2 linked regions of the Lytechinus pictus genome follow. The protein of the gene in region 1 purifies or fractionates together with the protein of each later gene. This does not show direct contact. Links are inferred from orthologs where the notes say so. Each region holds a gene or a part of one and is shown on either strand. Other genes may lie near its edges.

The links.
Region 2: the proteins of striatin-interacting protein 1 homolog (region 1) and striatin-3-like purify together in Drosophila melanogaster (affinity purification with western blotting; 4 studies listed by BioGRID, with this or other methods). This does not show direct contact. The link is inferred for Lytechinus pictus from reciprocal best matches to the Drosophila melanogaster genes Strip and Cka.

What each region holds. Positions count from the first base shown.
Region 1 is NC_087247.1:65,373,869-65,383,451, forward strand, and holds the start of striatin-interacting protein 1 homolog, read right to left. Parts: upstream 3,561-9,583; coding exon 3,546-3,560; intron 2,970-3,545; coding exon 2,900-2,969; intron 1-2,899.
Region 2 is NC_087251.1:17,504,772-17,513,478, reverse strand, and holds the start of striatin-3-like, read right to left. Parts: upstream 3,551-8,707; 5' UTR 3,264-3,550; coding exon 3,057-3,263; intron 1-3,056.

The sequences.
Region 1 (9,583 bases):
ACGATCATTAATGAGGGAATGAGCACCCACTAAAGTTTGCAGCATATGTGCTCGCGAGCTTTAACTATAGGCCATAGATGGGCAAAAACATGCCTATTGAAAATTCATTATAGCTCTTCAGAACGAACGGGGACCCCCAATTTTTTTTCATATTTCGATAGAGTATGAATCATAGATATGATTTCATGTCTCATTTGACCCTAACATATATCATGACGTCATCAAAAGGGCGTCAGAAGTCCAAATTTCATTTTTTTTTTGTTATGACGTCATTATAATTATGAAAATTTTACTCTTACTCCATAAATATTGGTCAATTTTTGCCCAATTTTTGATATGTTGTAGCTTAGGTCTTACTCTTTCTGAATTATGACCTTTATTTTTCATTTTGATGAACGGATCATCCTGAAAAATTGCAATTTTTAGAGGCATGTCATTTTTGCTCATTTTGCGTGCAATCGCTATGGTAGATGACTTTTTCTTAAAACTGGATTCTACATTCCTCTATTTCGTGAGCCATATCTTCACCTTTGCTTGTCGGTTTTCCTTGAGCTTTTAGTATGTTGTAGCTGAGATTCTAAGCTTTCGCAATTGTTGCCTTAATCTTCCGATCAGATGCCGGGATCATGCCCGTATTTCACTTGCAAAATTGGATTTGAGATTCTCGTATATTGCATACATGTAAAGTCTATGGGAAATATTGTAGCTCAATGGGTAAGGCGTCAGACTTGCATCTCATTCAGTCATGCAGGCACGGGTTCGAGTCCGAGGGTGAATATGAAATTTTTTTTTTTTTTTTTTTACTTTTTACTATCTCGCACATGATCTTTTATAACAATTCTAATGAATAATAGTTCAAATATTGCAAACTAAAACAGATTTAATTACTTTTTTTCATATTTTATCTATCCTTTTAATCATATCTGTCTATCTATCCGTTATCTATGTTAAAAATCGATCAATCTATCTGTCTAGCTATCTATCGATCTATCTATCTGTCTATCTATCTACCTACATGATACATGTATCTATCTATCTATATATCTATCTCTATGTCTAATATATATCTATCTAATAAAATATGTCTATCTATCTATCTATCTATCTATCTGCCTGTCTCTCTAACTATTTTCTATCGATCTATCTATCTATATCTGTTTGAATATATCTGTCTATCTATCCATTTAGCTTTCAATCTAATATTTATCTGTTTAAATAATTATGTATGTTTATCTATCTATCTATCTTCTATCAATCTATCCACCTATATTTTATTTATCCACAAATCCATCGATCTTTATATCTATTTATCTATCTATCCATCCATCTATCTATGTTATATCTATCTGTTTAAATATATATGTCTATATGTATGTCTATCTTTTTATCTTTCATTCTGATATCTATTGATCTGTTACAATAATTATGTCTGTTTATTTGTCTGTCTATCTATCTATCTAATATATATCTATCTATCTATTAAATCTGATTGTTATTCTATCTTTCTATCTATATGTCTATCTATCATTAAATATATACATACATGTATACGGTATATCTATTTTCTATCTGTCTGTCTATCTATCTTACTATCCATCTATCTATTTATCTATCTGTCTGTCTATCTGTGTTTGTACATATGTATCTATCTGTCTCTGAATCTATGTGTATAACAAATTTATCATAATCACTGTTATCATCATCATATTTGTCATAAATCATTATCATCATCATCATCGTAATTTTTGTCATTAATCATTATCTATTTATCTATCTATCTCAATATATAATATACCAGTCTATCTTCTATTAATCTATCCACCAATCATTTATTTCTCCATCCATCTATCTATCTATTTTTCTTTCTTTCCTATATGTATCTGTTTAAATATACATGTCTATCTGTCTGTCTGTTTATCTTTCAATCTAATATCTACTCATTTGTTTAAATAATTATGTCTGTTTATCCATTAATCGATCTATGACAGACCACCTAATTCGTCCTCATGACGAATTAAAATCTAGTTAATGAATTGAAATGCAAAATGCTTAAATGATTATGCTTGTTAATTTTATGTATTCAAGAACTGATATGCCACTCTTTGAATTTTTTTTGTATTCCAAACGATTCTCAAATTTTGCATTATGTTAGATGAATAAGATGAGAATAGAAATTTCCTTCATTAGGTTTCCTGAATTTCAGTTTTCATTGAATTTATCATTGAATTTATCAACCAGCAGAGATGCTATGTATTGTACATTGATAAAACATCAATATCTCAACTTTAAAAAAATGTATGAACAAGCTTTGATCATTGAAGCATTGCATGTCATTGCTCAATGATCGAATAAGTCTAAAGCCATCAATATGTCATATGGACCGTTACTACATTGGTATATCCCAATGACCACAATTACTAACCATCCATAGTTATATTTTTAATTTGGTATACAATTCAATAGGAATGTCATACAATAACAAGTGTATCATCAATTGTTTTATACTTTTAGTAGGAATATGTAGATAGTCATAAGTACTTCTATCTTAGTTCCAAGCAAAATAGTGCAATCTAATTTGTACAAACCTCAACAGAATTTCCCTGATATTGTTGGTTTTAAAATATTAAGTAAAGGAACCTTGAAAGAGACACATAACATCCCAGTGAGAGGAACCAAAACAATTATGTATCATGAACAATCTTTTGATGTGTAATATTCCTAAAAAATACTTGAAAATATTTTTGAAAATGTTTCCTAGATGTAGTTTATATATATGCTAATATTCAGTAAGGTCAGGTTAAAAAAATAACCCTACATAAATCCAAGGTCCAAGTATTTTGTTTGACCTATACTATGATACTCAAGCAGCTGCAAATAAGTCTGACAATGTATTATTTACCTGCGATTTCAGAGGTATATCTATGGGCATCATCATACTCAAAATCCAAGTCAGGTGTATCATTTTGGCCCTGAAATTATAAGATACAAATACAATATGAATGTGACTTCATCTATGTACATTAGATTTAAAACAAAATAGACAAGGAAAAATGCAATACGTGGAGGATCCACTCCCGGGAAGGGGGGTGAGGGCAAACTTTTTCTTCAAAATGCTCTGACAAGAAAAAAAGGGGTCAAAGGCCACCACATTTGTTTTTACTTCTCCCATAAATATATTTTGGCAAGTAAAAAATGGTCATCACTTTAATTGCAATCCCATTTGATGAGGGGTGGAGGCAAGAAATTAGACAAATTTCGATTCCCTTTGTCAAAATTTATCATATTTTTCCGCCTCTGCGTCACTGTGACAAAGTGCATGCATGTGCAATAAAATCATGAAGCATCACATATAGAGGTGATTTGGCTGAGTGGATATGTCTCTGGACAATAAACTACAAGATCCAGGGCTCAAATTCTTTTTCATTGCAACTCTCCACCTCGTTGTAGTAAATTGGTACCAGGTAGGAAGAAATTCCCAAAGTGCCTGAGTGCTCTCACTTCACTTTTTTCTTTGGTTGCCAGCTGGGCAACCTATACCAATTTACCTTTCCAAATGGCATTTTAGGTTGCCATTATGAAGTTCAGGTAATAATTGATGATTGTACACAGAATGTGTGAACCATCGATAGCACACCCCTTCAAAATGTTGCATGTTTTACAAGACCTACCTGTATATAGTCTAATTGTTTTTATTCAATGTAATAACTGAAATTCAGAAAAATCATACTAGACCTTGTAAAACCCTTTGTTTTATACCAGTCACTCCTTGATATATATAGATAAGCTCATGCCAAAGGGAGCATTCAAATTTTCACAGAATCCATGAACGAGGTAGCGAAGCAAATTTTGTTTTCCTTCAGACAAATAACTGCTAGAGAGGAAGGTATTTCAAGCTATTTTACTCCTGTGTTTAATATAGTCAACCTATGAAAAGTATTCATTATAATATGATAACATAAAATACAGTCCGGCCTCTTTTATCCAGACACGTTGGGACCAGCACCAATCCGGATAAGGGATTTATCCGGATCTGGGAGTCCCAATATTAAATACACGCAGCTGTGCTGCTGGCTGCCTCCCCAGCCCAACGGCGGTAGCTACACATTATATATTGTAGTGGGCGTACAGACAGTATTCACTGCAGTGTCAGTGCAAATTATAGGCGGTATTTTACGGAAATGAAATCGATCGATGGCCATAACTGTTGGATTATTTACCTGCTAAAATGATTGAGGTATACATCGAGCATACCTCGAAAGAAAGAGAATGACTCGATGAAACTAAGTTTTACAATTAGATCGCGACGGGTATCGCAGCTTCGCAATGTCAGCCATTGTTACACTGACTGTAGGCTCAAACATGACAGATGGAGCAGTCCGTATTGAGGCTTAACATTAGCTAGCGAGACATGTGTTGTTTTTCCCAGAAAGCAAAAAGAGAAACGTGATGAAATGTTTGCGCTGCGCCCTGATTTACTGGAAATTATCATGCCTAAGTTCTTTCGGTGAGATATTTTCATGAAAAAAATAATTTTGTTGTAGGTAGACTATATTGGAAAATATATGTAATCAAAGTGAGTTTGCGTATAGGATTAAGTTTAGATTGAAATCTCATTTCCTCACGTACTAGATTGAATTAAAAAAAAAAAAAAAAAAAAATCTCGGCAAGTGTGCGTCTGGATAATAGAGAGATCCGGATAAGGGGAGGCCGGATAAGAGAGGTCTGACTGTAAATATATAAAATTTGAATATACGTGTTATATTTATATGTGTTACAGCTGAAGGTCTATTTGCAATGTAACAGTCAGACGGCAGATCCCAAGAAAGTGGCTTCTTTCATCCAAGTGATATTCATGACTTGAGATGTTTTGCATATTTAATGAGCTTGATGCGGACCAAAACACCTCTTTTCATTCGGTCATTGCTGCTCTACTTGTGCATCGAATTTCATGAATTTGGTATCATTGTAAAGAAGAAGAATCATTCTTTCAGGTCATGTGTTTGAATTTATTCAAAGATTTTGTAATATAGGTTAAAATTTTGATCTAAAATATGCTACAAAATAATTATTTTCACCTGACAAAAGCTGCTATTTTCACACTTTATTTTTGTTTGAGCCCAAATGATTTTTAGATCATGACAAAGCTGAATATGTATGCTTTAAAATGATATAGGTTTCAAAATAAGAATTGGTTTAATCGGGTCAAGATCACACTTTTCATTTGCCAAGTACATAAAGCAGCTTGAAAACAAGAATACTGCACTCTGATTGGTCAAAGAGACCACACACTGGCAAATTCCAACGGTTCCAGTGCATGGGTTCATGGGAAGGGCACACTTCCCATGTGGTAATCTCCTCAAATACCCCGCGCCTGTTGTTCTGTGAATCTTATCCAGCCAATCAGAACTCTGGATTTCATGCAAGTACAAAATTTCAGAAATCTCGTCTTGTACCTTGGTGGGAAAAGTGTGATCTTGACCCGATTAAAAGGTGCCGCATATGAAGAGTGGCATTGTGAGAAAGTACAGAAGTTCAGCTTTATGGTGATATATATATCATTGAGGCTCAAAATAAAAAGTTTTGCACAATTTGCAAAAGAAAACAGAGGAAGAAAATTCTGTTTTGAGGCACATTTTCAGGCCAGAAATTTACTTATTTAACAAAATATTGTATACAAAATAAATGACCAATATGACAGAGTAACATTTACTCTATCTGATGGTGCAATAATATTTCATTTAACTTGAGGTTAAAACCGGTAAATTCTTAGAGAAAGAAAATCTCACGAATCACGAGATTTTGCAAGGAGGAGGATTCAGCCACGAGATGATTTGGATGAATCTGGCCTTTTTGCTCATTAGCATAGGGACCTGCGGTCTGACTGGTAATACATGTATAATCCAGTTTGCACACTACTCGTTGCTCTGTCTGTCAAGCCTCTTAGTCCGGGATAGGCCCCATAGAGAATTGACCAAACCCCCGGGGGGGCCACTTACATTGACGAGTGGATACCATGCGCGACCAAAAAAACACGTAAAAAGGATGTCTTTTTCAAGATAGGGCACGTTACGTACGTAACGTGATAAGGGTGTCAAAAACACAAAAAATAATGAAAAAAGGGTATCAATTTCGCTAGAAAAGCTACGTGTTTAGGGTCAAATTTGCGGGGATGATAAAACAAAATTAAAATGTTTTATAAAGGATGTCCTTTTTGCCCCAACACTACGTGTTTAGAGTCCGATTTGCAAGAGGTGTGGAAGGTGGGGCCGTACTAAACCAAACGGTGTGTAAAGGTAAAACCGACGACCGACGGACCCGTGACATATCGCTGTACTTGTTTAGGGGTTCATTTCAGGGAATACTTGCCATGCAAGAGTATCATTTTCTTTCCAATACTTGTTAAGGGTAGGGTTTCAGACGCCAATAATACTTGTTATTGCATTTTCAGAATATGGAAAATACGTGTTTAGGGTGCTTTTTGAGACCACATGGTCGCGCATGGTATCCACTCGTCAATGGAAGTGGCCCCCCCGGGACCAAACCTTGTTTATTGTATATACAATAATTTTTGATGGTTTCTTGTCAATTCAAGGGTGCTGATTACGAATCTGGATGATGCCACTCGTCTAACCTTGAGCATTTTCCGCAAATTGACAAAATCCAATATGGCCGCCAAAATATGCAAATTACCCATGAAAATCATAAAATCGTCCGCCCATTGGCTATGAAATGCATGAAATTGTGTGGCAGGAGTGAAACACTCTCTGAAAAAATAATTTTTGACAAAATTCTATACTCTTTTATGTACAATATGAATAGGGAAAACTAATTATCACACAAATGAGCACTAAACTGCAAAAATCGCGTTGTATGAACGAAGTAACATATGCAAATCATCATTACTAACGAGATATATCATTTATCATGTCATATATGAGAACATTGCTGTATTTTGATGTCTAAAATAGCCGCCACTGGCCCAAAGAGTATTATGTACAATGGCAATCATATGGCCGGGGCCCAAAAAATGACAAGAGTGAGCACTGAATTGCATATTATTAAGATAAACGAGTGGAATACTGACATAATTGTTAATATGCCATTCATAAATAATTCATTGATAAATGCTGAATTTTGAAATTCAAAATGGCTGCCATAGGCCCTATATTTATCATGTACAATGCGAATGGAGAAACTAATTTTCACACGAGTAGAAAAATAAAATGCATGTAATTGTGATCTACGAGTAAAATATTGTCTGACAAGTAACATGTTTCATTGCAAGACATATCATTTCTTTTGTCATGCATGAGATAAATGCTGTATTATGAAATTCAAAATGGCCCCTGTAGGCCCTAACAGTATTATCTACTTCTACTATGTGAATGGGGACATATAATTTTGTAAGAATTTGGATTTGCTTGACTATGACATCCATATAATCCTGTTGTATGAGTAAAATGTTATTTGAAAACATATTTTTTATATAAATTATAGCATTTCTTCTGCCATATAGTTGATAAATACTGTATTTTGACATTCAAAATAACCTCTACGATGTCTACAAGCCCTAACTAAGTTATGTAACATGCGAACAGGGAAACTAATTTTCACAAGAGTGAGAATCATAAAATGCATATAACTGTGATGTACGAGTAAAAATATTGTCTTAAACATGATTTCTAACTAAATACATCACATATTGGTCGTGGAGGTAATAAATGCTGTACTTTGAAATTCAAAATGGCTGCCATAGGTCCTAAAAGTATTGTGTACATTGTAACATGGGACATATAAGGGCATATGGGCAGCCATTTTGAATATTGAAATATAGTATTTATCACCTAAATTACATAAGATATGATATATTTTGTTATAAATCATGTTTTCAGACAATATTTCACTCATACATCACCATTTGGCCAAGCAAAGCCAAATTCCGTTGAAATGATTTGTTCCCACTCACATTGTGCATAATACCGCAAGGGCCTGTAGCGGCCATTTTGACTTAAAAATAACAGTATTTATCACCTAACTCGCAGAATAAATGATATATCTTAATAGAAATTATGCTTTCAGACAATGTTTTACTCATAGATCACTACTACATGCATTTATGGTGCTCACTCCTGTGAATATTGGTTTCCCACTTTGCATTGTACATAATACAGTCAATGTCTATGGCGGCCATTTTGAAAGTCAAAATACAGTATTTAACACAAACTTAAAACCTGAATGATATATTTCGTTGAAAAATACGTTTTTAGAAAGTATCCTATTTAATTTATTACATATATATATGCATTTTAGTGCTCACTCACTTTTTTGTGTGATTTCTTTGCACCTCTTTCTCATTGTGCATAATACTTTTAGGGCCTTTGGCAGCCATTTTGAATATCAAAATACAACATTCATCACATACATGGCTTACTAATAATATATTTCGTTAACAATTATGTTTTTAGTCAGTATTCCACTCGTTTAATCTTCATAATAAGCATTTTTAATTTGAGGGCGCTTTGAAGATAATGTAGAAGGATTTTCTCTCCAAATCCACAATAACGGACCTTCTTTGAACTACTTCTCAGCATCATAAGGTAATATAATATCTGATTGACTGGATTTGCACCATTTATTGATTTTTGTCGCTTCTTATGTGTTGATAATGTCAAATACAAGATCTAAATCTGCCGCGTACACCGGCAAACTCAGTGACACGCCCATTTCTAATACGTACGCTACGGAGGAAGCGGTGTCGGACCAATTTGACAAATTCTCTTCAAAAGTTCTAGACAAACTTGATAATGTAACGGCAACATTATTATCAGTTCGAGATGAAATGAAAAATATCAAATCTTCTCTCCATGAAGTTGAGGCATTATCGGCTAATTCGGCGGCAAGAATCGATATATTAGAACGCGAGACCCTCCCTGGAATGTCAAGAATGCAGAAGGAATCCAACCAAATGATGCGTGACTCATCAATCGCGATGGAGATCCATGACCGTAAACAAAATCTTCTGTTTTATGGAGTTCCCTAGAGCCCACGAGAAAATACTACTGACACCCTGCGGAAGGTTATCGTAGAACTTGGTTTACCCGAAGACCAAGTTCGGAATATTCAATTTGTTAACATTCATCGTTTGCCGAGGAAATCTTCGACGTCGTCATCGGCGACCCCGTCCAACCCAGACCCGATTATCGCACGATTCGTAACGGTTTTTGATCGCGATGCTGTTCTTGGTGCATACCACGATTCGCTGAAACGAACGAGATCTAAGTCGGCTATCACGATTCGCATAGACTTACCACAAAAGCTCAAGCAGGTGCGGTACGAGCTGGAAAAGGCAGCATACGATTTGAGGAAGACCAAGGAAATGTCTACACGAATTCGTCTCATCGGCACGAAGCTAATTCTTGAATACAGACCAAAAGCACAGCGACAAGCGTCCTGGTTGCTATATCAGGTGTAATCAGGATAGATGTTACAATAAATCATGTACCGTAAGTAACAGTGTATTAACCGCACCTTTTTCTCGGCGGGACAGAATAAAACAAGTGGAATGCCTCTGGCCGTCTCACCT
Region 2 (8,707 bases), on another chromosome or scaffold:
TCAAAATCTGATAGCAAATAGTGAAGTTATTAAATTTTAAAGTTTAGCAATTACATTGTGAAAACAGTACGGTAATACGCTTGTCCTCATGAACATTCATTAGGCGAGCTGATGTCACATCCCCACTTTCCTTCTTCTTATCTTATTACATGAAATCATAATTGTTTCATTTTTTCATATATGTATGAATGATATGTGTCTCCTTTATAATGAAATAAGTTGCAGCAATGAATATCCAATGCACTATTGCTGTCAATCCAATTGGTTAATTGTTGGAGGAAAAAATTTGAATAAACCTAATTTCTTACAATAACATACCAAAAAACAAGTGGGGGAAATGACATCATCAGTTTGATCATTGAACATTTATGAAGACATGCCTAGAACTGTTTCACCGGAATAATGCAATCTATAAAATGCCATAACTTTGTTATTCTCTGTCCAATTTTGATCAAATTTTCGGTGTTTTGATTGTCTGATTTTCTTTATTTGTTCAAATCAGATATTTTCAGCCTGGAGTATCCCTTTAATAATCAGTGCATGAAGCCTTTATACAAGAGACTGAAACTGATGATTGAATAGCCCTGGCTATAATTCTGTTATTTACAAATGTGGACAGTATTTTTTCAGATGCAGTTTTTAAGAATGTTTCAAACATGAAAATAACCATGAGTCACAAAACTCTGTCTTGTATGGTAAGAACATGCAATTGAAAAGGGCAATTGTATTTCTGTGGGATACATTGGAAAATTTACAAAATCAACAACCAGCTATCTTGATCCCAGGGGAGCATTTCATCAACATTTATGTCCGACATGTTGTCAGATCTGACATCTTTCCTTGATTTTGATTGGCTGATAAGCAATGTTACTATGGTAACTGTCGGATAAAATGGGACTTGTCGGATAAAACGTCTGACAAGTCCTTTCATGAAACGCTCCCCAGATCTATTTTTAATTTTGAGAAAACAAAGGCATTAAAATGTTCTTTTTCCTTATTATTTTTCAATTCACTTTAAGAGTTCGTTGCAAAGTACTAAGTTAATAAAATTACTTTCTAGCACATGAATTGGTCATATATTTTCTTATTTGGTTGAAATTTTGGAGTACCGTAAGTAACGGTGTATTAACCGCACCCGTGTATAAACCGCACCCCCAACTTTGGACTAAAAAAAAAAAAAAAAAAAAAACCTCACATTTTCATGCATGTTTGAGGTACGAAAAAACAAAAACTAAGTTAAAGTTTTCAAAGAATTCAAAGAGATTACCAGTATGCAGAAATCTGCTGTTCTTGATCAATTCATCTACAAATGTTAGCAAGAAAGAAAGGTCCCGCCAATATTGGCAATTTACACACTCACTCACCTCACAGTCACAGTGTACACACACACAGCACTGCCTTTCTTGTACATGTACATTTCAAACTTCGATACGGTACCACTACCAGTACATCTTATCAAATTGTGATGTGTCTTTCACATTTCTTGCATCAAAACCTCACAATCACTTTCAGAATTTGTCTAGCATTCGATGTCTTAGCATGAATTTTGGATACGGGATTACAGGAAGGTTCAAGAAACAAAGAAATTGGTATTTTTTCCAGTTGTTTGACGGCTTCGTGCCGTCTCTCTCGTGCGTGGTGCACGGTGTACATGGTATCTTATGAAAAGCAAACGGGAAAGAAAAAAATAAGCTGGCGCGAAACGGGACTTTGAGGGGTTAAATTAAATGAATAGCGCCAGCTTAAGTCGTACTAAAACCACAATACAACGCAAGCTAGCTCTTGGCTCTCGCTCAGCTGTGACAAATTATTACTGAGAATGCTTGGCGTCTCTTTGAACTTAGCCAGGGAACTTCACTGCTTTGAATCGAGAATAAAGTCGAAATTAGTGTCATGAAGGTGGGTGCATTTGTTACGACAGTATTTGATCATAAGATCGTAATAATCGCTACCCATTACCCGCGGCTCATACCCCTCTAAACGACATTGCACTGGGCGGCTACGCCCGGCCACTCGATGTGTTGTGAACTGGCAGACTTCTTACATGTTCGGGAGGGGTTACGCGGGCGGGCTCAGACCCGTCACCGTGTATAAACCGCACCCCCGACTTTTGCTTATATCCCGCCGAGAAAAAGGTGCGGTTAATACACCGTTACTTACGGTAACTTTAGAATCCAATGTCGTAATTGATTATGAGAACATGGATACTAACTAGTGTTAGAACGAGACATCATATATGCGATACCAAAATTTTCAATTTTCAATCTCAAAAATAAAATTGAAATTGAATGTAACTTATGAGGTGTGAACGCATCTGGTTATGCTCTTAGTCTTGCTTTGCACAATATTTAGAAAGCTGTCAAGCAAAATTGTATCTACTACTTGATATGGGAGTTAATTAATTCAGGTACTAATAATACAAGGCTGGTCAGTTAAAGCATGACAAAGGCCTCTCCTCGATCTTGTATTCTTTATTCAGTCAACAACTTTCACATTATCTCATTTTTATTTTTTGTCACTTTTAATTATCACAATTCCACTGATTCTTGAAACAATAGAAAAGGGAAGCAGTAGTTCCTTGTCCTTGACTTGACATCACTGATCCTGCTAGCTGCTGTTACTTAAAATTTAATTTCAAGAAAAAAAACAAAGTCAAGCTAGTAAAAAAAATGAATGTCGTTTGACAATGACATTGACAGTTGTTGTGGCTTGTGCTGATGAGTGATGTTGTGTCACAATTCGATTCCTGACCTGTTTTGATAATGAAACATCTGAAATAGAAATTTAAAAAAATAAAAAGAACGTCACTGACTAAATCTAAATCATTATCAAAATCATCAGAACAGTAACAAGTCAAGAATAAACAACAGAGTATTCATGGTATTCAATATAATCTAACGTTGATAATACACTAATTATTCACTCCGCTCAAGCCTCCAGCTCAGCGACGTGACTTTGCCTTGCGTGCATATGCATAAGGCATGCCATGGCCATGGGAATGCCCATACAGCCCGGCGGTCTATGACTATGGTTTGCGTGCGGGTGGGACAGCCTACCTGAAGTTCAGCTCGTTCCACTTCCCACTGAGCGCGTTCCATTTCGAAACGAGCCCATTCATGTTGTATAAAATGTAAAATTCCTGGTATTGTGTAGTTGGGTCTTGGATGATCATCTTGTTGTTTACCGCTGATGTTATTTACAGAAGAAGTTCCAGAATTCATCTGATTAACGTGGTTTTGCGACAGTCCCGATTCACTATCCATTCTGTATCCAGTATCCTATCTTACTACTACGTCGCCATTTTGTTGAGATGATTGGATGTCACGCTAGTCTTTTTCAAGATATACCAGTAATGGAGAAATAGTGATTGAGTGTCCCAAAGGCCCAAACTGTAATATAAAGAAGGCTTTAGTGGGTAAAAATGTTCAACCCGAAATCAGCTCTATCCATGAAATTAATATAAGTTATCCATTCACCATGCATGCATGGGGATGCATCTCCCCTTCGACCTCCTTCCCTCCGATCTCATCAATTGACGTCATACTCATACACTTGAACAGACTACTGGTAGACTTACTGTTAGACTTGTGGTCTCTGAAAATTGGGGGTGGGTGAGGGATATACTTGGAGAAAGATTTTTGTTTGTCTGCTGCACAGATAGGATAAGATTATGGTACATTCACTTGCACGTTTTTCGTACTCCGGGCTCTACCCAAGTTTCCGACTGGTAAAAAAAAAAAAAAAAAAAAAAAAAAAAAAAACCCGACCCTGAGTGTTACCACTGGCGACACCATGCAGGTGCATGCCCACTCCTTGCGTCCCGAATCTAATTTGGTCTCATCATGGACCTAGTAGTATGTCCATGGTCTCATCATACCTCGTTGGTTTTATGACATCATTTAGTATATTAAATCATAAATTGGGTACCTGGGTACTTTTTTGTAGTGAACCCTCCCCTCCCCTTTTTTCTATTCAAATTTACATCAACATCCCTTGTAAACAAAAAATCGTTCTCAGTGTCCTGCTTCGTTTTCCTCTACAGAATTCTGCTATTCTCATGCACTCATTTCTGAAAAAGCTTGGTGCATTACCATTTTATAAATCGATATATAGGCCTAATAGTGTCCATGTGTATCAATGCGATCTATGTAACACATCATCGTGGTCTTGACAAGACTTTATAAGTCTTTAAAAAAATCATCTCTTTGCTCAGTTAAGATCAACGTTAATTCACTATTATTATCATCAGAACATTTGAAGTAAAATTTGTGTGTCAAAGTTTCAATTTATTTTATGAAATCATTCCTCCGATTTAATCATCTCCAACATCACAATCATGGTCATCTTTATCTTCATTGCCTTCATCTTCACCAGTGTCACCATCATCCTCATTACTCAAATTATGAACCGATACTTTTTGGTTTTAAAAAATGTCCCCATTCTTCTTTATAAATTAATTTTCAAGCAATCTGCTGATGACAACTGTTCTACGGCAAATTGTAAATGTAATAATGATTTGGTTGTAGATATTTTTTGTTTGAAATAGTAGTATCAATTTTAGAATTCATGCCAAAAAAGCCACCACCATTGTGTTTGTTATGTTATGATAATAAATGCAGAAGGAAATAATGAAATGAAATCACATTATTTTCCTGCCAGTAACATTAGTAATACTTAAAGGTTAAAACTCATCTAAGGCCGAGCTGACGTGATTGCTTTGGAACCGAGTAGACAGGAAAATAATAATCAAATTCTGTGAAAACAGTTACTGGTGACAATGGTGCTTGTTGAGAACAAATCGACACCATCCTCCCCCAAGAAAGAAAATGAAGGGAAAAGAGAGGAGAAAAAAGAAGGGGAAACATAAGAAGAGGAAGACGACTGAATGACATAAATGAGGGGAAGACTTAGAAAATAATCAAAAAAAATATTTTATGTTACTATATAAAATTTTCGCTCGCGCTTCGCGCTCGCTTTGCCTTTTAGGTGAATTACATTATCTTGCTCAATATGGAGCTTCAAATATCAAATTTCGAAGTCAATATACAAAACATATTTCAGCTCGGAAATCGAACTTTCATTATTTTGTTTGATTTACAAATTGATTTTTAAAAAGTGCTCTGTAAAAATGTATGTTTTATGGTGGAATATTAAAATTTTCTGCTCGCGCTGCGCGCTCGCAAAATTTGATTTGTCAGGTATATTATTTTCCTGTATTCCATAAAGTTCTCAAAATATCCCTATTCAGATCAGATTGTCAAAGCATATCAGCTAGAGCTGCAAGCTCGCATTTTGATGAGTTGTGTATATCTCAATATTAATTCTCAAACAAACTACTTAAAATCCCCGTTTCATGAAAGTTCATCAAAAATTTCGGCTAGCGATTTGCGCTCGCATTGATTGTTGAAAAGATAAAACTCATGTATCTTATTCATAATTACAAAAGTGCTTAAAATGTCCAGTTTTCAGGCCGCTAAAATTTCGCGCTCTCATTAGGCTTATTAGAATAATGAATATTAATTTAATAATCAAGTTGTCCCTTTTTCATAATGGAATATCGACAAGTTTAATCTCGCGCTAGGAGGAGAAATAGGAAGATAGTCATCATTTATGATGACATAATGTCCTTATAGAATGTCCCGGCCCTATGTCAAAACTCAAAGTAATAATAATGAAACATATCAGCTCTTTTTTTAACTGTGATCCATATCCACCTCACAATTTTCCTACAAAGTATTTGAAATACAAAGCTTAAATCAACCCTTTTTCAGATCGGAATATCAAATATTTTAAGCCCGCACTTCGCGCTCGCTTTATTGATTTTCATGATAAAAAAGCTATTTAGAATACCCAAATTCTAGGTCGATATCAGATACGCAGCTTGTTCTCTATCTAAATCATTATCCAATTTCAGATCACAAACTATCAAAAATTTTCTGCTCGCGCTTTGCGCTCGCATTATTAATGTAAGAAGATTTCCAATTAGGCCTACTCATCCTTTCCATGATTTAAAAAACATGAATAGAGTGTCCTATATCTTTAGGTGTAAATCTCAAATTTGTCCGCTCGCGCTTCAAGCTCGCATCAATCGTTTAGTTATAGGCCTACACTTATCCTTTCACGATTAAAAAACGTGCTTAGAATTTCCATTCTTCAGGTAATAAGTCAACATTTTCAGTTCGTGCTTCGCTCTCGCATTATTTGATAGTTGAGATATGTAACGTCTTCATGGCTATCAAGCAGCCATTAACAAGCCATTAACAGATACTCTTTTGATCAGATTAAAACGTATATTAAAAATAAAAATAATTCTAGTCGCGATTTTTTTCCGCTCGCGCTTCGCGCTCGCATCTATTATTTAGTTATTATTTAATTACTTATCCTTTTCACGATTACCAAATGTGCTTAGAATTTCCATTATCAGGTAGAAATGTCAAAATTTTCAGCTCGCGCTTCGCGCTCGCATTATTTGATAGTTGAAATATGTAAGGTTATCATGGCTAACAAGCACTAGATCCTTTTTTGATCAGATCAAAACCTATATGAAAAAAATATTCTGATCGCGCTTCGCGCTCGCAGTAATTATTTAGTTTGATACACATCTCGTTTAACATCAGAAACATTGTCCAGAATGTTTAAATTTCAGGACAAAATACATAAAATAAAAAAGTTTGAATAAGGCTTATGAGATTAGTTTATATTTATGTTGATTTATAAGAATAAAGCATAGAAGTGACTATTAGGACTACCCCTTCATCAGGGGCGGATCCAGCCTTCGCCAATAGGGGGGGGGGGCGGAATTTGTTTTCAGCCACATTTTCCCCGATCGGCCGCTCGAAGTTAATTTTTGTTTGTTTCTTTGAAGGGGTAGTCCTAATAGTCACTTTTAAGCTTTATATATATGTGTGTGCTGAGGGCCCCCTTACATTATATAATATCATAAGCCTTATTTAAAGAGTGCGAGCGCGAAGCGCGAGCAGAAATTTTTAATATGCATTTTGATCTGATAAAAAAAGCATCTGTTGACGGCAGCTTCTTAGCCATAAAGACGTTACATATTTCAACTATCAAATAATGCGAGCGCGAAGCGCGAGCTGAAAATTTTGGCATTTTTACCTGAAGAATGGAAAACGATAAGTATAATAATTTAATAAATGATGCGAGCGCAAAGCGCGAGCTGAAAAATTCGAGATCTAAACCTAAAATGGGACACTCTATTCATATTTTGTAAATCATGAAAAGGATGTGTAATTGGAAATCTTCCTATATTAATAATGCGAGCGCAAAGCGCGAGCAGAATTTTTTTTATCAATTTTTATTATACGTTTTGATCTGATCATAAGAAAAAGGATCTGTTAACGGCTGCTTATTAGCCATGAAGACGTTACATATTTTAACTATCAAATAATGCGAACGCGAAGCGCGAGCTGAAAATTTTGGCATTTTTACCTGAAGAATGGAAAACGATAAGTATATAATTTAATAAATGATGCGAGCGCAAAGCGCGAGCTGAAAAATTCGAGATCTAAACCTAAAATGGGACACTCTATTCATATTTTGTAAATCATGAAAAGGATATGTAATTGGAAATCTTCCTATATTAATAATGCGAGCGCAAAGCACGAGCAGAATTTTTTTAATTAATTTTTATTATACGTTTTGATCTGATCATAAGAAAAAGGATCTGTTAACGGCTGCTTGTTAGCCATGAAGACGTTACATATTTTAACTATCAAATAATGCGAACGCGAAGCGCGAGCTGAAAATTTTGACATTTCTACCTGAAGAATGGAAATTCTAAGCACTTTTTCTAATCGTGAAAAGAATAAGTATATAACTAAACAATTAGTGATGCAAGCGCGAAGCGCGAGCGGAAAAATTCTGGACACTCTATTCATGTTTTGTAAATCATGAAAAGGATGAGTAATTGGAAAGTTTCCTACATTGCAAAGCGCGAGCAGACAATTTTTGATATTGTGATCTGAAACTGGATAATGATTTAAATAGAGAACAAGCTGCGTATCTGAATAAACACGTGTTTCAGATTTCTACCTAGTATTTAGGCATTCTAAATACATTTTTTATAATGAAAATCAAAGCGAGTGCGAAGCGCGAGCTTAAACTATTTGATATTTCGATCTGAAACGAGAGTAAATTTTAGCTCTATATTTCAAGCACTTTGTAGGAAAATTGTGAGGTTGATATGGATCACACTTAAAGAGCTGATTTTTTAATAATTATTATTACTTTGAGTTTGAACATAGGACCGGGACATCGTTAGGACATGAATATGAAAATGACTATATCTTCCTATTCCTCTTGCTAAGCGCGAGATGAAACAACAGGGGCAATTTAATTATTAAATTAATATCTTATTAATTAATGCTAATGAGGGCGCGAATTATGATGACATTATGGCCTGAAAACTGGACATTCCAAGTCTTTTTGTAATTATAAATAGGATGCATCAGTTAATATATTTTAACCATTAATGCGAGTGCAAATCGCGACCCAAATTTTTTGATAAACTGTCATGAAAAGGGGATTTTAAGTACATGTAGTTTGTTGTATAATCAATATTGAGACATACACAACTCGCCAATCAAAATGAGAGCGTGCCGCGCTAGCTGATACGTTTTGACAATCAGACCTGAAAAGGGATATTTTGAAAACTTTATGGAATACACGAAAATAATAGGTACCTGAC